2 linked regions of the Xenopus tropicalis genome follow. The protein of the gene in region 1 purifies or fractionates together with the protein of each later gene. This does not show direct contact. Links are inferred from orthologs where the notes say so. Each region holds a gene or a part of one and is shown on either strand. Other genes may lie near its edges. The genes, in order: fos and stk40.

Region 1 (11,256 bases):
TCACCTTCCAGCAGGACAACGACCCTAAACATAAAGCCAGTGCAACAATGGAATGGTTTAAAACAAAATATATCCATGTGTTAGAATGGCCCAGTCAAAGTCCAGATCTAAATCCAATCGAGAATCTGTGGCAAGATCTGAACACTGCTGTTCACAAATGCTGTCTATCTAATCTGACTGAGCTGGAGCTGTTTTGCAAAGAAGAATGGGCAAGGATTTCAGTCTGTAGATGTGCAAAGCTGGTAGAGACATACCCTAAAAGACTGGCAGCTGTAATTGCAGCAAAAGGTGGTTCTACAAAGTATTGACTCGGGGCTGAATAATTACGCACACCCCACTTTGCAGTTATTTATTTGTAAAAAATGTTTGGAATCATGTATGATTTCCGTTCCACTTCTCACGTGTACACCACTTTGTATTGGTCTTTCACGTGGAATTCCAATAAAATTGATTCATGTTTGTGGCTGTAATGTGACAAAATGTGGAAAAGTTCAAGGGGGCTGAATACTTTTGCAAGCCACTGTATATTTCTATTTTTTAACCTGCCCCCAGGGCTGTTATTTTGGTGACGGGTGTGCTCCATTCTGTTCTCTCATTAAAACACGATTCATTTTATAAGCAATCCCTTTTAAAGCCAATGGCATGTGGACATTTGACCACCACTGTTCCCAGTCAGAGGGAAGCTGTGGCTAAAATTGCTTCTGTCTACCTATTACCACTTACAATGTAAATCAATTAGAAGCATGCTGCCAAACACACAGAGCAGTGAAAGGTGGATGTCTGTGCAAAAATGCCCACTTCAGTTGTTATTTTTGAAACATTGCAAAGATTTTTTTATCTGCCTAAGCATTTATTTTGTACCTTTGGCAGAAGCGCAGATACCTTGCTTGCCTAGGAGCAGAAAGACCCAATATTGCTGCTGAAAATTAAGTAAAAATGTCCTGTCCATCTTTCCCGGTCCTTAGAATTCATCAGGCCTTTTTCATCCACTTCTTACTCAGTCTCTATATTTTCCTATTTTTTTTATCTTTGTATACTATAATCAAATGGCAAAAAGTTGGAGGGCCCACTGGGAATTTTCCTGGTACTCTGACACTGCCCCCATGGCAGCCCTGTATGTCAGATTTATCAGTGAAATTACTTGCAGAGTAAGTAAACTGTGACACCAAAGCTGTCAAATGCATATCTTATAGGAAGGAGGAAAACCAGCACTGTAATACTTAGTAGCTGGAGCCACCATTCTGTAATTTACATGGAGGTATCTGCCAGTCATTTTACAAAAGCTACTGAAAATTAAATTTTACTGAAACTGAAAACTTTGTATTTTGACTAATTTGCGTGAAAATATATGATTGGAGGAGTGTAATAATTTAATTACTTTCTACCTGATAATAATGTTACATGCTTCAAGTAGTTTTAATATACAGTTCACTAAAATATGGGTACGCAGGAATGCATAGCAAGCGTTATATCTCTAGGAAAACTGCAGTTTATTAATTAATGGTGTCACTTCCTCAGTTACCAGTGCCTCATTTGGGCTCTGCCCCTTGGTGAGGCACAGGTCCATTTTGGACTGGCACCTTCCCAATTAATACAGCACTGCCTGTGTTTAAGAGTGCAGGTATTCATGAGTGGTGACTAGTGGAGGCATGTAAGCCTTTTAAAATTAAACCAAGGTCCTGATAGTATGCACCCAGGTTGCAAAGTCTAATGGCACAAGGGTCATTTGGTCTTTATTTATTTTTTTATAGTTTTTTAATTATTTTCCGCTTCTGCCTCTTTCCAGCTTTTAAACAGGGCTCACCAAAAATTATTGTTTGTAAGACTACAATTTTATTGTTATTTCTACTTTTTATTACATTTATTTCTATTTGGTTGCTATTTATATCAAATTCCTTCATTTTTATTTTTTTGTGTTTTTTTTTTGTTTAGCTTTTTGTTCAGCAGCTCTCCAGTTTGGTATTTTAGAATCTTTATGGTTGCTATGTTCTTATTTACCTTAGCAACCCGATCAGCAGCTCTCCAGTTTGGTATTTTAGCAGCGAACAAAAGGCTAAATAACTAAAAAAACACAAAATAAAAATGAAGAACAATTGCATATTGCTTTGGAACTAAGAGTTATTTTAATACTAAAGTATGCATTTTTCTTTGTCCGGTATCTAATTTTAACAGGTCAGTTAACTTCTGGGTCTGTTAGCTGGCTTCTATTACATTGATTTCTTATTGTGATGTAATGGCCCACCCACTTTGATGTAGACATGTTGTGTAGTTGGTCAGAACTACAGCAAACTGAAAAAAGTAAGATGGGAGTAAGTTTAATTGCAAGGGAATGCTATGTGTAAATGCTGGATTTTTTCTTATATTACTGTACATAACCCAGTTATCTATTCTACAAGATTTTTCTCTTTTAATAATGAGAATAGTGCATAAGAGGATAGTGATTGCCATTTGTAGTTTCCCACTAACTGCAATTAAAGGCATTTCCCAGTGCAGCCACTGAAAGTACTTTGCTGGAATCTCCAGCTTTCAGTAGTCACAATCCAAGTGCCTATGGCAAGAGAGGTTTAAGACTTGTGGGCTGTATGATTGATGGTCAATTTAGTTCATAAATACTCATGACACCTAGCATTACTTTACGCTTTTTTCTTTTCATTAAATCAGAAAAAAATGCCTGGTCCTTTTCTTTGCTGATGTGTTCATACAATACCAAACATTTCTATTTATTTGAGCCCAAAATAATTGGGCATTTAGCTTGCCACTCAGGATTTGTACACAACTATTTGTATATTTTGCAACTAGTTTTTTTTTGTTGTTGTTGTTGTTGTTGTTTTTTTGTTAACCATGAGTACCAATACTTGCCCCCAAAAAAAGCAGTTACAATACAGATTTTGTATTGGAGAACAAATGAAGCTATACGCAAAAATGTTATGGTGTTTTCCCAATCAAGCTGTAATTAAAAAGGTCTTGGAGATGTTAGCTTTTTAGGACATGGTAGCTTTTTAGGACATGGTAGAAGAAGCACACATCTGGACACATGTTGGACAACCCCTTTCTAAATGGATAGAAAATGTAAACCTGACAATATAGTTTCTCCCCTTAAAAAGGAAGGGAAAGGGGTGGGGGTGAGAATAGACACACAACTGTAGTGAATGCAAAAAAAGATTTTATTCTTATGTGTCTTGGACAAGAAGCAAAATAAATGCTTGTGATCCTGCTCCAGACTTATTGGCACTAATGTCCGCAATGTCAAAGTAGAAAATAAAAATATAAATATTTTCAATATCAATCATAATAAATAAAACAAAAACCATCTACAGGAAATCAACGTTTTCATGGAAAACTTGGAAAGACAGTATTACAATCAACGGAAGAAACAGCACGTTCACCATGTGTCCGGCCCTTAAAAGGATATCTATATATGATCTATATATCTGACTTACAAATGAATATCATGGCTGGTACAAGGATATTTAGAGCTAACTCCTCTAAACACCTTGTACTCAGCCAGCACCATAACATTCCTGTGAGCTAGCTTAGACTACATTTCCAAGCTAACAGCACAAGGCTTTTATCAATATCACAATTACCTAAACAGGTTAACGTAGGTCATTGCCACTAGCAGTTAATGTATGGGATACATCATGCTACATATTAACAGAATTCACAACAAGTCCATGCCAGTGCTACAGATCAGTAAGAGGTATCAGGCTCCAGTGGCAGTTGGAAGTAGGAGTCAACTACACAACCATATAAGTTAACAGGGATCTAGTGCTAGTTTGTGATGACTGGGAAGTAGGAGACTCTTGGCCTAGTACAGTGCTCACTGTGATATTTACACTTTTCAAAACATTACCTATATCTGAGCCTAGGTCACATGCTAGTACCATATTTTTTGGATTGACATGCACAGTGAACACTTATGGCAGCAAAGAAGAAGTTCCAAAAGCATGACAGTAAAAGCCACATATGGTGCCTTATTGCATTTTGGAGTCAAAGGAAGGAGGCACCAAAATAAACCAGTTTAACAAGTACAAGTAAAAGTCCCCAGCAGCATCTCACAATGGTTGTGTGAATGTCCCTCAGCATTACAGAGCCAAAAGGGTGGGAGAGTTTAGAGAGTCTGATGACTGCTCATTGCTGCTGCTTCCCCTCCGATGTGCGGCTCCACAGTTGGGGAAGTGGTCAGATTCTGGGTATGTGAAGACAAATGATGTTGTATAGGTAGTGCATGTTGGAGTGCAGGTAACAACTGGTGTGCACAGAGGCTCCATGTCTGCAGATAAAGTGCTATACAGTGGCTCCCATTCTGATGTGTAAAGAGAGCTAGTAAGATCTACATCTGGCACAGAACGTGCTGCATCAGTTACACCTGTGTGAGAAGAGTTAAACAGAAAATCATCCAGTGGTTCAGATTTGAGTTCCATAGAGACTTGCAGCTGGGTGTTCTCCTTTTCAGGCATGGAAGACTGAGAAAGGCCAATGGGAAACAGAGGCTCTGCTACAGGCTCCTGAGAGCTGGAAGAACAAGGGGTCTCTGAAATCAGACCCAGATCAAGAGATGAGGTCAAGTCTTGAAAAGCTCCATCAAGATCATGTGGAATTTTGCAAGCTGGTTTGTGAGCTGCAAGTATAAACTCCAGCTTTTCCTTCTCCTTTAGAAGGCCGGCAATCTCTGCCTGCAGGGCAGATTTCTGGTCCTCCAGGTCATCAGTCTCCTACAAGGGAAGAAGGTGGTATAGTAAGAACCTCAAACAATCAAATCCTCCAAGAATGGAGAGCAATATAGATCCCATTTATGTTTTCCATCCCTCTGCATATAGTCAAACTAATATATATATATATATATATATTATATATATATATAATATATAATCTTAACATTTATATAAACTACTGCCTATTTAGTAGCCTACTTACCGCTTGAAGGGTGTCTGTTAACTCCCGACGGCGGTTACGACACTTGGCAGCTGCCATCTTATTCCTTTCTCGTCTTACTTTCCTTTTTTCTTCTTCTTCTGGAGAAAGCTATAAGCAGAGAAAAGACAGACTGTCAATATAAATAAACAAGTAGCTTATAGATAAACAACATCTACCTACACCTGCATTGCAGAAACTAAAGGAAAACAAAGGTCTGACAGTTACCTGCTCCATTTTTCCTCTTCTTCCCAGGCTCTGACCTCTTCCAGCAGATCCTTTCATAACGCTAGATCGGCTGTAAGCTGGTGTGGACCCATAAGGGTGTGCCCGAGACTGTGATGGGGCTACAGAAGAAATAAGGGTTGGCTGTACAAGCCACTGAAGATCTGGTGAGGTGGAAATGGCAGTGACTGTGGGTACAAAACTGCTGCTTGAATCACCACCGAAGTCCTAAAAACACATAAGTAGAAATAGGAGACTATCAGTGAAGAGAAAATACGTATACAATCGGCAATACTGCACACAATAAGTGTTATGTGTATCTATACAAATATACACACACAACCCAGCCATTGAAATTGATAATCCCACCCGGGTTCCGCATTTCCAATCCTAGCACACGAGCCCGAGTATGACAGAAATAGCTCCGCCGTCACTAGTGACGCAGGAACAGCTCTGGAGTCTCCTGAATGAACTCTGGATTTTTATCAATGGAACCGCTTTACACATACAGTGGGGGGAGGGGCAAGAGAGTGCAAAGACCCTGTTGAAGTCAGGGCTACAACATGAACCAGGATTTGGGTGTTAGTCCCAGGAGCAGTGACTATGGATATTCGGGTGCCAAGTCTAAACCCAGTTACTTGTACCCATACAACCAGTAAAGTAAGCCACCCGCAAACACTTCATCACCCTCTTAAAATCATATATCAGATGACTTACCTGTGGAGAAACAGGTGACCCCATGCTAGAGAAGGAAGCTGCAGGGGACGGGTAGTAGGTCAGGCTGTCCCCGGCTGGAGAGGCACTACTGCAACGGGAAGAAGCTGCATCATATTCGGTGCTGCTGGAGAAGGCGTGATACATGGTGCCCTTTGAGGGTAAGAATGTAAAACCAGCTCCGGGAGTAGCAAGTGACAGAGAAAGACCGTCAGTCCTGGCTCACCAAGCTGTCAAACCACTCCGTACGATGAAGCAATTAGTCTGAAGGAACTTGCCTCCTCTCCAGCTTTTTATACCCTGTCAGAGGTTTTTTTTTTACTTTTTTTCAAAGCCTACGTCACGAGTTAGACCCTACCACTATTCAAAGGGACGAGCAACTCTAGTATCAACTCTCGGGGCTTTCGTTTTCTATTTAATTGTGCTGAATGTCAAATATTCTTCAGTTCTTGACAATGACCTAAATGAATATTCAAGGTAGCATTACCTAACAAACGCTTATTTTTTTGTCTCCCCCCTCGGATTTACCCAATGGTTTCACCGAACTCGGGAATCCAAATGACGCAGATATCCTTATAAGGAAAACATCCTGTTTGAGGGCGGTTTGAGGCGGCTAGGGGTAGGGCTGCCGGGAAGAGCCCTAGCAAGCAAAGACAGACACAAAAAGGGAGGGGTTGAGGGTGCGAATTGGGAGAAAGGTAAAACTGAAGAGTGGAAAAAGGTTACGCAGCCCTTTTGAAAACAATATCCGCGGTATCCGTGTTTAATAAAAAATACAATTTTATGTTTATGTAATACAGGTATACACTGCAATTTAACATAAAAGGCAAACGCTGTACAGTTAAATTCTGCTCTGCATGTTAATGATGTAGACTGTAGAGTATACATGTATGATGCAAGTCACTTTCGTTTATCTATAAAATGAATAGCGATACATTTGTATAATTCATATACCCTGTTCTGCCTATAATACAATTACATTTTGTCCTATGTAAAATATGAAAGTGGCTTAACTAAAGAACTGTGGGCCCCAGTAAAAATTACACTGGTTTCCTGGTTTTCACCTGGGGACCCCTTTCCAAGCTTCCCACCACACTGTGCCCCATATGCCTCCAGCTATTCTGTATAACAGAGATTAATATTGATCTTTGTTGCGCTGACCCCCTCAGCTCCAGAAACAAAAATAGCAAACTGCTCAGTGTATTATACAAATACATTGGCTCAGCACTACAGAGCAAAACATCTTGCATTATTATCATTTATATATAGTGCTTATATTTTTTTCACAAGGTTATTATCATTATCATGCTATTATAATTTCCCATATAAATGCAGTTTACAATCTAAGGTCTCTTTTATGTACACACAGAATAGCGCAAATTTTATCAGACGCCAATTCTTTGTATATGTTATTGGAGTGTGGAAGAAACTGAAGTCCAGGAAAGAACCCTAAGCAAGCACAGGGAGGACTTCTTGTACTCCTGTACAGCCCTGGCTAGAATTAGACCAAGGAGCCCAGCACCGCAAGGCAGCAGTGCTAACCACAGTGATTAGCATGGCTGTCTTGCAGTGCTGGGCTCCTTGGTCCATGCTGCCATTCTACACAAATACACTGCATATAATACTGATATATCATTACTAATATATTGTAATAACATTGACATCAAGTATAATTTTTACCAACTAGGTAGATGGCTACCCTTATTATGTTTTCTGCAGATTAACCTATTCTGAGCATAATGATACAGATAGGCCCTGCTTTGTCTATAATATCAACACACCCTCCTCTGCATATAATACGAACACTGCTAATGTAATTTGCAGTATGATGCATGTAACACAGTATATAAAAACAGATGTGGCAGATCAAAGGTGCTTGGTGTTGTTTGATTAGTATGACAAACCACAACATGTTAATGTATACTAATATACTATTTCCTATATATAGAAACAAGTCAAGGATACCTGGGGCATACAGTAGATTAGTGTGAAGCCTTTCCACACCATTGTCATATTTATATACATATACTTTTCTGTGTATATTGCAAAAACATAAATTTGGGGTAAAACAAAATACTATCTGTTTTGGTTTCATGCTCTGTTTTGGTTTATTCTGCTTTGTTTGTTTTCCTGTTACTATTTGGAGGCTCCCTTTCAAATGTGGGAAGTACAATCTCCTTTCCCCTGGGGCCTGCAGGGAATTCTCTCACACCCACATTAGAGGCCAACACAGGGTTTCCCTCCCTTCCTCCCTCCTTCATCGGATGCCGGGACAGGGATTCCCTCCCTCTCACAGTTGAGGCCAGGAATGGGCTTCCCTTTGCCTGTAGTGACATCAGCAACTTGCACGCATAACTTTACTTAGAATGCTCTTCCAGTTAGACAACATTTTCCAGCATGAGGCGGATGGCTGGGGTATCCCTTGCTTATATATTCACAACTAGTCAATTGTAGCAGTAGATCATGGGGCATTTTACAAATAACAATCTAAAGTCTTCACAGAAGAAACTGGTTATGTACGAAAAAACTAAGGGATACACTTTACACAGCAGATATGTACAGATCAGACTAAAAGCATAAAATGCACTACAAAAGGGTTTATATTCAACAGAAAACAGTGAGCTATACCCTCAGTTTGCAAGACAGATATTACAGAGTATGAATTCTTTTTCCTTGAGTTTTTTTTACCGTATTCCACATACTGACAGCATATAGTGTGTCACTTTTTACAATATAACCTGTAGTTGCTCTCCACAAATAATGTAGGTTTTAGTATTATTATTAATTAATAATATTAACATGTATGTATAAAACATTCAGCAGCAGTGTACAATAAATGGGTTAATACACATTAAACATACAATAAAAAACATGTACAAACAACCAATAACTAATACAAGAGCTAAAGAGGACCCTGCCCATAAGAGCTTACTAAAGATATACTGCCTTATTAAAGTATTGAACTGGGAAAGTATTATAAATTGGAATATAACTATATTTATTTTAGGTAACAGCAATGCGTAATTTTCTTAACTGTATGTATATATATATATCTGCACTGGTGTATAACACACTAGTGCCGTCACATGTCTTATATCTGCTTTCGAATTCAGAAACATCTCTCTGATCAATCAAGCTGTAAACGAGCAGACATGCAGAATATAAAAGCAAAACAAGAGTGTATATATGTATGTGGAGGTGTGTATTTCAATGATGGGGGTAAATTTATTTATCACACTTCAGTGGACCTTTGAAACGACACCTGTCTACAGACTAAGACAAAGGTCAAAACGTATTCACCATAAAGATTCAAAATGAATCTATATAATTAAGAGTGCAGACACCTTAAAGCACTCAATCAGATATTCAGAGTTCCAATAAAACTTGAATTTTGTCTTAATATAGTGAAAACCCACATAATGCTATATAAATAATGTACACAGGTATGTTTGAACGGCTGATTGCAGTGTATGTATGTACTGTTGGTGTCCATAATCATATATATATAATTAAACATACATTAACGTTTATATTTTTCTATGTCTCATATACGTGTACAAAAACTATATTTGTATTTAATTACATTATTTTAGTGACATCACGCATCTCTAATTACCTCAATTTATTTTTAACGTATGCACATTACGTTTATATTCCAAGTTTCTGTATAAGTAGATACTAAAGCCACATTTTTCTAGCGCTTTCTGTTTACAAACACCTCACAAACACAAAAGTACAACCCTAATACACAAAGTTACAGCACAACAAACACTTCCAACCCCGGAGACCGTTGCTATGGAAAGTAGAGCTACGCCCCACGACAGAGATAGCCAATAACACTACTGTAACTAAGCCGTGCCGGATCTTCTGGCTGTTGCCATGGTGAGGGCGAAATATTTGGCTCGCACTTAGACAAATATGGGCAGGAGGCCAACGTCATTGTGTGTTTCCGTGGGAACGGGTAAGACAGCACGTCATATAGTTGTCACGTGGTGCAGTTTCCCGCCTAGTGGGTGCGGCGTTACTATGGCTACGTGTTGTGTGTTGTTATTTGGGAAGGCGTGTTTTAACCACGATATTTACGCCTTTCGTCTCTGGCCCCATCTGTTTCCCGTCTTGAAGCTGTGTGGATCACATGGTCTACCAGTCATTGCAGCTCTTCTTTCTCTCAGTGTTTACCAGCACGGAGAGGGGCACGGCACGCAAGATATCGGTCTTGCTGAACAAGCTGCTTCAGCCGACCAAGCTTTCCCGCACTCCTCCGTGCAGACATAGTATAGTGGCAGGTAACCGAGTGTTTGAGCATCCCATAAGGTATGCGTGTCCTTGTAGCTGTGGTGTGTCATATATTGCAGTGTTAAAATAAATATTTGCTACTTGTAAAGTAGTGTTATTTTTATATCGTGTTCTTGTGCTCTGGCCGGCATGTAGCAGGAGCGATTTTACATCGAAGGGCGAGTGGTGAGGTGGGCAAAGGAGGTAGTGGGCCAAGATCTGAGGAACAGCAGAATGGGGTGGGCTGTAGAGAAAGTGAAACGGGAACTGGAGGTGCAACACTCGGTAACAAGTAAGTCAGAAAAAGTCTGAAGGACATATTGTGTGACTGGTGACTTTTACTTTGCTACTAACAGCAGACTTTTTTTATGTTTTCTTTTGTTGCTGGAGCCCAGGCTCCTTCTGTATTTCTCAGCTTCTCGGTTGGCTAAAAGTGGTTTAACTAACTTATACAGGCATATTTTATAAGAGCAAAAGCTATATAGCTTCTAACAGAACCTCTGACTTGTGTTGTGATTTTGGGTCTTCTAAATTATATGCTGGTCTGTGGGAGTAACATAGCTAATATGTCACAGTTGTTGTAATTAGTGCTGGCAGAATGCGATCTGTTACATTTCATTTGTGTAAAATGTATTTGAAGGGATTCACTTAGGGATCTATTTATTGAATTATATGAGCTTTTACTTACATTAAATTTGAAGCTGTGGCATGACTAGTTATTGGGATTAATATGTCTATGAAGATTTTCATTCATCCAGGTCATGGTATATCTAGTATAAATAAATCTAAAGCAACTGGACTTGTTAAGAAAGACTTGTTTCTTAACAAGTCCAGTTGCTTTAGATTTATTTATACTAGATATTGGGATTAAGACATTTACTATTAACATATATTGCAGCTGTTTATCAGTCAAATAGGGCACCCTATAGTTCCTAGAGGGCAGAGTACTGTATAGTTCCTAGGCATTTGCAGGGTATATTTTCATATACACCTCTGCTTTTCAGTACAATGATTGATAAATAGTAACACATCCACCACCGAGCCTTTGGCACTTGAGTAAAGATTCACATTTTTTTCAAAACAACCGGTGTGCTGCTGTTTTCATCATTTTTACATCCACCAAGTTCA
Region 2 (11,181 bases), on another chromosome or scaffold:
CCTTCTGCACATTGAAACGCTTTTTATTACAGCATTCATAAATGAGTCCTGTGTCCACTTAAGGCTACTGCTTTACCAGGTTCATTCTTGACCTGTGGATAAATGCTTGCCTCAGCCAACTGTTGTGACTGCACCTGGAGCCACTGTGTTGGCCCAGGTGCAGACACAAAGAGCAGTTTTCAGCACTGAAATGCATACTTGTACCATCTGTACAAAGCTAAATACTGATTGGTTGTTGGTGGTTATAATACAGGTGCAAATTATCCCTATGTTAGTAAAGGAGACTGCAGCTATTGTAAATAAGGAGCAACTTTATAGGAGAAAGCACCCCTGTACTTAAAGTAGATCTAAACCCACAAATATGATTTGTGTTTATTAATAAAGAAAATCGAAGCAATTTTAATTTAAATATCCATAAAAAACAGTTGGTGCTTTTAAAGTTATTTGGAAATGTAAGCTAAATTGAAAGCAGTAGTTTTCAGTCTCTTTCTGCACCTCTGGTATTGTCTCTTGAAACAGCTTAGCATTAGTTCAGCCTACTTATTTACAGGTCTAAGTAGATAGTTTCTGCTATACTCTTTCAAAAGTCGGAACCATCAAGGCAGGCACCTGAATGGTACAGTCACATGCAGCTTTCAGTAGCAGTCAGATTTACGTATAATATACAATTTACCACCGGAGTGTCGGGAGATAGAAGTTAGGGCAATCTATCTAAGAATGGCAGTGGAAGGAGGCTCATAGCTATCCCACCCACCCCCCACCTTGGATAGAGTTGTACATAACAAGGCGCAGAAGACTGTAAAAATACAGAAAATGGAGAACACAATGTGTATAGAGGAAAATCATAACCAATAACTGTTTGTGCCTTTTTTTTTTTTTCCACTTTACGTTCTTAATTGTAACCTCCTAGAAACTCCTTGCAGTGCCCTTGCTGGAACTGAAGCAACATGTCAAAAAAGCAGTGCTGACCATTGTGCCACCATGTGTCATCTGTAATACCTACCTTGAGAACCTAAAGAGATTCATTAGTGCATTGAATATACACACAAAACACAGAAGCTGGGCTGTAGGAAGAAATAGGCAAACAAAACCAATGATTCAGTGCTGCATTATTAGCAATACTGGCACATTTCTTCATTTTATAGGAACATGTCTGTAGCTTTTGGTGAATCGTTCTGAATATTGCACTTTGCACATTTCTTAATAAATCTTAATATAGTTAATTTTAAAATAGGTCTAACTTTTTCAAAAGAAACAATTACAATCTGCAATAAATGCAGAGTGTAGTGTACAAAGTGCAATTTAACCATGGATTTTACCCACAAGCCAGTTTCCCCCCCCCCCGTATTCCAGCATAATTGTGGTCACAAGGTGGCATTGCAGCTGATGCAAATTGCGGCTGATAAGTTAAAATGCACATAACTGCACTTGCACTTAGACACGAATCGAATGCAGTTTCGGTGTTGGGATTTCACCACTTCTGGTGCTTGGCTCCAAACTAACACATTTGCCAAAATCTTTATATGCAAGTATGCTGTGTTCATTGCATTAATTGGTACACTGTGGCTTATCACTAGTGTCAGCTGTTTTCACTCTTTTATTTTTACCTCACCATCTGACACTTTGGGTCACTTATCCACGAATGCTCCGAGCGTTCATTCTATCGGTCCAATTGTATTTTCTGCGACTTTTTCGTACCTTGTGCGACTTTTTCGTATTTTTAGCACAAAAAATCGGATCGGTTATGCCGCTGTTTGCAATCATTCGGTGAGAAACTTTTGTGACTTTCGGATCGCCAATACAATATTATCGTGACTAATATGATTTTTTCGTAAGCATTTTTGTGATATTTACAATCTTCAGAAATTTTCGTTTCCAATCCGAATTTTTCCCATTTGGGATTCGAACTCGTGTTTTGATAAATCTGCCCCTTTGTGTTGCTGTCTAAAGGTGGCGATACACTTAGCAATTCCGATTTTTCCTGCAACCATTGGTCTCACGAAAGACCGTTCCCACCCTTCACTGACGTTCAGGGCTGAACCGTCAGATATGGAGGTAGAAACAATTGAAATTCTACCTCTACCTGGTGCTTCAGCCCTAAACGTAGATTTTGCTCGGGGAACCTTCAATGGCGCCCAATCAAAATCTTTTAACCTGGCCGATCGTCGAGTCGACCGATATCCGCAGCCTTTGTGATATCTGTCACCTCTTCGACCTGTCATACATGCACCGAATATTGTACGAAGTGAGGTTTCGTACGTTAATATCGTGTATGTATGTGCGTGTATGGCCGGCTTAAGGGTAGTAAGTGATCAGCCCTACACCTGCCCTAGGGCCAATCGATCGAATAAGCCTAATATCGCCCACCTGTAGATGGGCATATCGGGAAAAGATCCGCTCGCTTGGCAACCACGCCAAGCAAGTGGATCTTACCAGGCCTGGATTTGTGGCAAAGCCACAAAGGCCTGGGCCTAGGGTGGCATAAATTTAGGGGCCCAACCGTAAGTAAGATTTGCTTACATATGGTTGATCGCTTACTTAATACTTTTAAAGCCAAATAGATTAACAGCTACTCTGCCTGGTCCATTCAGGGAATAATTTGTTTTCCCTTAAACCCAATGACATTTTCAATTAACATATATTGGAAAGTTGCCTGGATTTGCATTGCTATGTAATTGCAACAATTTAAGAGCAATTAAAGCCCAGTTATAAGTTGTATTATATCATTAGGCCTGGGCTGTAACCTGAAGTCAAATTTCCAGAATTATTCAGCCCAGACTGGCAATCTGTGTAACTTGGCAAATGCTGCTATGAGATGCCATAGACAGTCACTATTTATTGGGCTGGTGGGGGCTGTTTTGGCCCTCTGTACCTATAATGCAGGGCAATTTTAAATATCTCTCTCAGGACCTGCTACTATGTGACCTTGTCTTACAGTAGTTCTCCTGTCTCCTCCTTCAGGGAACACTATAGCTTACCAGTCCTGGCTTTTTGCCAGTTCTGTGGTGGGGGGGGGGTTGGGTTGACAAGCCAAGATGGACAATAAAGTAACAGTGAATTACTTTCAGGGCCCTCAAAGGAAACTCAAAATTCTCCTCTGTCCTCTCTTTTTATGATGGTGTTGTTGTGCCACTCAGAATCAACCATAGGAAGGTGTTCCAGGATGGCCTTAGCCTAGCCCAGTGATCCCCAACCAGTTGCATGTGAACAACATGTTGCTTGCTAACCCTTTGGATATTGCTCCCAGTGGCCTTAAAGCAGGTGCTTATATATGAATGTCTGGTTAGAAGGTAAGCTTTGATTGCATAAAAAAAAAATCAGTGATATTGCCAAGCAGAGCCTTCTGTAGGCTTCCAGCCAATTATATTGGCTATTTTATTGGCACCTCCAGGAACTTTTTTCATGCTTGTGTTGCTCTCCAAATCTTTTTTCATTTGAATGTGGCTCACTGGTATAAAAGGCTGGGGATCCCTAGCCTAGCCTATGTTGCCTTTCTATAATTCCATGCCTGACTCTACTCAGTACCTTACCCCCTTCCTTCCCCCAGACCCTCACAATTGTGAATCCATCTCCTCTGTTTTGTACCACTGGATACCGTTGTTGTGCACTTCCAACAGCTCTTATGCCTCCCCCATTTTAAAATAATTCATATTCTGGGTATCACCATGCTTTAACTGTGCATTTGTAATCCGCTGCAAAGTAAGTTAATAGATCTATGTCTGCCCAATGAGCCTCTATCCATACAGCCTATGGGTATACATTCTATTCACTATATTTGATAATTTGGACATTTACAATTTTCAGCCAATCTTTCTCATTGCTTTCTTGTGTGTGTCACTAAACTGGAGACAGTTGTGCATGCTGGAAAATCATCAACACTCCTTGGCCATTCCAATGTTTTCTTCTAAATATGTGATTTCTGTAAAAGCAGCAGCTCTGGTACAAATAAGAAGATACAATATGCTTATACGGTACAACGAGTCTGTATTCTAAACAGGTATAGGTAGGTAGAATAAATAAAATTGTATGAATTGTTTAACTAATTGATACAAGTCTCTGTGTATTCACAATCCTTTTGCGTTCATGCCAGCGTGCAACAAAATCTTGAATCAAATCAATCAGAATAATTACACCTGCATAACAACACCGTCCCAAACTAATCTGATGCAATAATAATAGTGAGGTGTGAGACTCTTTCTGTCCTATTTAATCAGTATAAGCGGCTGCAATAGTTATTCCAGTTTCATTATCTGGGCTTTAAATCACTCTTGGCAGCGGCCAATCAGAGCCGCCTCCATTCACAAGCATAAGCCATTCAGCAGCGCCATGATCTCATCACCCTCGTAGCTTTGGGGGCGTGATTACACGGCCCCCGTAGGTTTGGAAAAGGGAGGGCTCAGTCAAGCCAATAGGAGGTGACTTTAGGTGTAACAGGGCGGGGCCGAGGTTTTGTTAGTCTTGTTTCGATTCGTTGCCGTTTTTTTTACAGCGCCTGATGCGTAATTTCCGTTGTCAAGTGCGCAGCCATGGAGAGCCGGGGTCGGTGAGCGGCGCAGGCCCGGTGTCCGCTGTACCTTACTCCTTAAGCTGAACCAGAGCGATGTGTAAGAACTGAGGAACACGGGCTGGCTTGTGTCACAGGTAATAAGCGTTCGGGGTAGCTAAAGGGCGTGTGAGGCACGGGAAAGGAGGATAAGGAATAATGCTGGCTTCTGCAACCTGTGGCTCCCCAGTTGTCCCTGAAAATCAAATCTATACACCGTACCATTCTCCGAGTGTGTTGTGGTCGGAGGGCGCATGTGTGCGGGTTTTTGTTATGTTGCAGACACCGGAGGGACCGGCTTCTGATACTAGTAAGGGGCCAGGGCTATAATGGGTGTTTGGTGTGTAGTTAATTTGCATGTTGCTAAAGGAATACGAACGCATCAATCACGTGCTGTCAAGATTCCATCGTAACTGTAATCTGCGCTGTAGTTACAACCGTGCGCTATATGTATTATTCACAAGAGGGGTATGCTGAAGGCTAAGAATGGAAGCACTGGCTTATGTTATGGTTACGTGATTTGCTTTAAAAAAAATTACATTAAAATTTGCCTCTTTAACCCTACTCAGCCACCACCCTGACCATGCATTATAATTTGCAGAGATTATCCATAGTTTACATTAATCCCTGTTGCAGTGGAGAAAATACAAACTCCTTGCACATAGTGCCCTGGCTGAATTAAAACCTATAATATCAGTGCTATACACTCCACTATTGTGTTGTCCAGGTAGCTGCTGCATGGTTGGATACTGTATTTTCTACATAGTTTTAATCAGGATCGCCACTGCAAACCCCCTTGCAAGTAGGGCCCAGTGTGGTTATTCTTTGGTGGATATGTGCATCTGTCCCGTAACAAAAAAAAACCCAAGGTATTTTCCTGAAGCAGCTAGACAGGTGTTACAATGGTGGGGTTGTCGTAGTTCAGATGAATGAAAGGCAGTTGTTAGAGATATGATAATATATATTTTAGAGGTCACCTTGGTAAACAAAGGATAGTGAACAAGGATAATATAGTGATTGGATTACTGTAATAAGCATTGTTCTATATTTAAATTGCTACACTCTTTAAGTCATTCTTGATTCTTGCTAATAAACTTGTAAAGGATAATGAACTAGAGACTAACATGGATAGTGGCACTCCATTGTTGATGTAATTCAATGCAAATGAAAAACACAGCAGTAATCTGCAGTTCTATTCTGCAGTGATTGCTTTGTTTGCAGGTAAAGTAAATGCCTTGGTTATAATGTGGCAGGGAAAGAAACAATGTAGGATAGCCAATATGGTTGTTTAATGCCATAAAACTAGAATAGGGGGGGGGGAGATTGAGGTTTAGGCTATTGTTTACATTATCTGTATTCATGAGATACTACTTTGCATTTCAAAGGATTGGAAAGGTCTGTTTGTTGTAAGGCCAATACGAGTTGAGATGTTTTGTCGCCCATGGGAAATTGTCAGAAAATTCTCTTTGAGCTGGAAAATGGAGATTACCACCTGTAAATACCTTCCATTCAGCAACCTAACGATTATACAAAGTTAATAGGAGCTGTAATATTATCTGATCTGCCAATGATCTATCCAGGTGCTAAGAAGGGCAGTCTGGGTGCAGTTTTAGGGCTCTGGCACACAGGGAGATTAGTCGCCCGCGACAAATCTACTGTGTCTCGGGCGACCAATCTCCACGAAATGCCATCCCACCAGCGAAAATGTAAATCGCCGGTGGGATGGCATACGCGGCGGCGCGATTTTGTTCCCTCTCAAGGCAACTTGCGCTATTTCACTGAAATCGCGCCGCCGCGTTTGCCATCCCACTGGCGATTTACATTTTCGCAGGTGGGATGGCAATCCGGGGAGATTAGTCGCCCGCGAACAGGGAGTTTTGCCGCCGGGCGACTAATCTCCCCGTGTGCCAGAGCCCTTAAATCTCAAGAAAATACTTACTTTTTACTCTGTATGGATCTTTATTTCCATTTATGACATACCCACCAGTCACTGTGCACATGGGGCAAATTGTGCAGATTTTGGCACAAAAATGCACACATAAGCTTTTCTGCGTGTATGCTGATGAGCCGATTCTGTGGCTTTTAGTAAACGTACAGTCAGATTTTTTTATGCCAACAGAGAAACCGACTTGTGTGTCATTAACCATTGTGGTTTTTGCACCTGACCAACAGCTCCATTGAAAACAATGCAGTTTAGACATGATGAAATTACTGTGCGTTTGTTTTACCAAGGGATAAAAATATCTGAATACATCAGAAAATATATTCATTAGGCATTACAGTTTTAAAGGGACAGTAACACCAAAAAATTAAAGTGTATAAAAGTTATTACTATATAATGTAATGCTGCCCTGCACTGGTACAACTGGTGTGTTGTCCTTAGAAAGACTACTATAGTTTATATAAATAAAGCTTCTGTGTAGCCACGGGGGCAGCCATTTACAAGGGAAAAGGCACAGGTTACTTAGCAGATAACAGATAAAACCCCATTATATTCTACAAAGCTTATCTGTTATCTGCTATGTGCCTGTGCCTTTTCTCCTTTTTCCCAGCTTCAATGGCTGCCCCCGTGTTGACATAGCAGCTCATTTATATAAACTATAGTAGCGTTTCTGTTGCAAACACACCAGTTTACCAGCGCAGGGCAACTGTACATTATATTTTAATTACTTTAAAACACTTTCATTTTTTGGTGTTACTGTTCCTTTAAGCTAAAGATGATTCTGTAGGCTAAAAAGTTATGCAAGGTGGAAACAGGGGCAGTTAAAATGCCAATCTCCATCTGTCATAGTAAACCATGAGAAGCGCAGTGCCCGATGAACACCTAACCCATCTCACATAAATGCTTGACCAGCCTGGCACCATTGCTTACACTGCAGGCATAGTGGTCCCCATAGATTACTATACAGTTTTCTCAGCGGCATAAGCACATGGCATATGTGACTAAAGATTGAATTAATATAAATAATAGAGTTCAGATCTGTTGGCAAGTGCCCAACAATGTTTTGAATGAAAGGTTGGAGATAAAACTGTATCTCCCCTCTGCAAGAACAAAAATGTACTGTGAAGGAGGCAAGAAAATCTACCCACTGGTGCAAGGGGATTGACAAGGAAAATGAAAGTAGGTATAACACATGTCCTCGTATGTGATAATAGGCACTAAGTTTGCACAGAAGTGGTAACCACTAAGTATGTTCATAGGCCTGATTAAATAAAAAGGATATTGTAATGCAGTGAAGTCCGTGGAGCCTCTCAGCACTGAAAGTCTTAAAAATCCTTTGGAGGGCTACATCCAGCCCTGCAGGCCTCCAGTTGGACAACTCTGATCCATAGCAATCAATAAAATGTTTGCTTTTAAACAGCTGACTGGATTCTACTAATTGGTTTATATGGTTTACTGCACTTTTGTTTTTACCTAACCCCCAAAGTCTTTGACAGGTAAGCGTAGCACAACCAAAGGCAGTCCAGAATAGCTCAGGAAGTTGAATGTTAATTTTTAGCAAAAAAGTGTTGTAGGGTGTTTGAGTTAATGGTAGCACAAGTTTGGGACTTGACTGAGCAAAACTGAATTGGAACTGGAAATCAAATGCAGTTGTCAAAAGCAGGTTAAGTAATACATGGGGAGCAATTTGAAGCATAGCACAGAACGGGTGATCAAGAAGTATAATCCAAAGACAGGAATGGTGGTTAGAACTAGGATTTGGAGGCACTAGAGGCACCAGGTCAGAGGAGATAACACTACTTAATAACTAAGCAAATCACCTTGAGGGGGACTGGTCCAGACATGTGCTTAACATGTCTGTGGATGAGGTAAAGGGGTACAATTGGTTTATTTTTATTTCTCTCTAGAGCTATAGATGAGTTACTTTTTCTTTTTCCCACTTGTAGAATGTTTTAAATCTTCCATGGAAATAATGACATTCGTTTTCTCTTTGACTTACTAAAATGACACAGTTGTGGGTGGTGGTTTAGGCTTTACTAAGATGCCTTTTTATTGCTTTCTTCTTTGAAATAAGTGTTGCCAATTTTGGTTTTGCTTAGTCAGTCCTTGGGAGTTCTCCTGCCCACTATCATCCCTGCATGACAGGTTGAGAATGAGCTAGTCAGGTCCTTTTTGTGAATGCTGAATAGCCCCCTGTTTTTTTATCCAGTTCTGTTTTTTTCATGTAGGTGGTAAATATAATTTAACTACTTTTAATTAAAAAAAATGTGCATTTGCTAGTAGAGGCGTGACTTGCGGGCGTTAAAGTTTGATAAAAAGGTGTTTATACAGTAGTTATTCACTTAGGCTGTGATTTGCATGTATACAATTTAAACTAGCAAATTTAAAGAAAGTATTGAAATTATAATTTAGTATAATTTAGTATAATTATAATAATGCACTAAAGGTCCCCATACACGGGCCGATAGTAGCTGCCGATATCGGTCCCTTGGACCGATTCAGCAGCTAATCGGCCCGTGTATGGGCAGAACCGAGCGGCCTGGCCGACCGATATCTGGCCTGAAATTGGGCAGATCTCGATCGGCCAGGTTAGAAAATCCAGTCGGATCGGGGACCGCATCAACGACATCGCCAAGCGAGCGGATCTTATAGTGTATCTTATAGTGTATATTTATGCATTGCCAAATTGGCTGGGACAAGCCAAGGTCTGAATACACTGATCAAGCAGGAAAGCTATTATTTTTTGGCTGCTGGTTGACTATATGGATCCCAAAGATACAGGCATAAAATTTGCTTACTTTACCATAGGTTACTTCTGCAATTGCGTGACACACAAGGACCCCTTTTGACTTCAACTACACTGGAATTTTGGAAAAAATACTGCATTATGCGAAAAAAGGTGACTCTTCAAAATTACACTTTGCTCTTGCTGCACTTATGGAAGTAAATGATCCCTATATTTGTTTGTTGGAGCACCGAGGATATTAACAGCAGTTAGATGGTGGAATCTGTTTCCAGGGATGTTGACTAGTTTTCTTCCTCTTAAAGGAAAGCCCAAGTCACTTGGGGGTGCCAAAATGTTAAGCACCCCCAAGTGACTTAAATCGCTTACCTTCTACCCCGGGATGTTACCCCCCTGTTAAGAGAGAACCCCCCTGTTAAGAGAGAACCGCACCAGCCCAGGGTAGCAGCGAGCGCTTCCTTCTTCCACGTAGTGAAAAGCCGAACTTTAACAACAAAGTCGGCTTTTCACTCTAATGCGCATGCTCTGGCCCAGGTTTTTCGCTGTGGAAGAAGGAAGCGCTCTCTACAGGTACCCCGGGCTGGTGCTGTTATCTCCTAATAGGGGCACCAGCCTGGGGTACAAGGTAAGCGATTTAAGTCAATTGGGGGTGCCTAACATTTTGGCACCCCCAAGTGACTTAGCCTTTCCTTCTCCTTTAAAGGGATTCTGTTGTGATTTTTATGGTGTACTTTTTATTTCAAAATTACACTGTTTACATAGCAAATAATTAACTCTACCATTTAGGGTGAAGACACACAGAGCTACTTAGTAGCAGCTACAGTGTCTTCACCCTAAAAATGTTGTTTTTGAACCTGCAAATTTAATTTTTTTAGTTATAATATTGGTGTGTAGGCTGCCATATCAGTGTATTGTACCTGATTCTGAGCTTTCAGAAGGAGCTAGCGCTACACATTAGAACTGCTTTCAGGTAACCTATTGTTTCTCCTACTCCCATGTAACTGAAGGACTCCCAAGCCAGACTTGTATTTCTTAGTACTGAGTGCTATTCTGATATTTGAGCAGTGTAGCGCAAGTGAATTCGACAAGATTTGGATAGTGATTGGATGTGTAATGTAAACAATTACGATTGTAATTGTATGCGTAACAATTATAATTCCTTTGACCATTGGTCGCAGGAAATATCATTTGTTAGTCCATCATGTGTGGGATTCAGAGTATTTTGTAAGAAATTTGGTTCATTGGCTCCTAAATTGAGAGGCTGCATCCTTTAGGGGCCATGAATCAACGAATGTGGATAAATGACCTGGTTACTCCTAAACTTCTTTGGGGGCTTTAGCATATTGCCCTCTACAACTACACTAGCTTACTGTACAGAATGTACACAGCAGCTACAGTTTAATTGCATTGTACATATACTCCATTGCTGAGAAATGCTGCATGTTTTGCAACAGAGCATAATGCTTGTAGAAATGCTGCAGGACACACAGTAGGCTGCAGACTGTAAATATGTATAATAAACATTTATTTGTACATGAATTTTATATAGTGCCTTGTGGTGGTATCTTTATAAAGAAGCCATTCAAAAGTAATGTTTTGTCAAAGTTTTGTAGAAACTGCCACCCAGTCAGAGTGAGTTAGTTTTGGAGATCCTCATTACTTGACATAGTGAATTTTCTCTGGTTGAGCATTTATTATGGCGTAGCAATAGGCATTGAACAGAAGCAAAAAATGCTGCCTGGTGTTCATTTCCTCAAGCTTAGTTGGTTAATATGCAAAGAACATGTTCCCACGCACCTCTTCTTAAAAGAAGCTTTGTTCTCCTGGAAACTCTTTGTACACATACATGTTTGAGGCATTTTCACTCATGTAGAAGTGTCTCCTTGTCTGTGGTAAAGCGTTGGCAGAGGTTATGTATGTGCGTTCCGAAATCCCTGATCACATTTAACATGA

The links.
Region 2: the proteins of fos (region 1) and stk40 purify together in Homo sapiens (affinity purification with mass spectrometry; 3 studies listed by BioGRID and IntAct, counting the BioPlex papers as one, with this or other methods). This does not show direct contact. The link is inferred for Xenopus tropicalis from reciprocal best matches to the Homo sapiens genes FOS and STK40.

The regions. Positions count from the first base shown.
Region 1 is NC_030684.2:82,306,515-82,317,770, forward strand, and holds fos (proto-oncogene c-Fos), read right to left. Parts: upstream 6,086-11,256; 5' UTR 6,001-6,085; coding exon 5,857-6,000; intron 5,368-5,856; coding exon 5,143-5,367; intron 5,026-5,142; coding exon 4,918-5,025; intron 4,716-4,917; coding exon 4,086-4,715; 3' UTR 3,146-4,085; downstream 1-3,145. UniProt on the Homo sapiens protein: Nuclear phosphoprotein which forms a tight but non-covalently linked complex with the JUN/AP-1 transcription factor. In the heterodimer, FOS and JUN/AP-1 basic regions each seems to interact with symmetrical DNA half sites.
Region 2 is NC_030678.2:86,282,721-86,293,901, reverse strand, and holds the start of stk40 (serine/threonine-protein kinase 40), read left to right. Parts: upstream 1-4,516; 5' UTR 4,517-4,641; intron 4,642-9,293; exon of another isoform or gene 9,294-9,384; intron 9,385-11,181. UniProt on the Homo sapiens protein: May be a negative regulator of NF-kappa-B and p53-mediated gene transcription.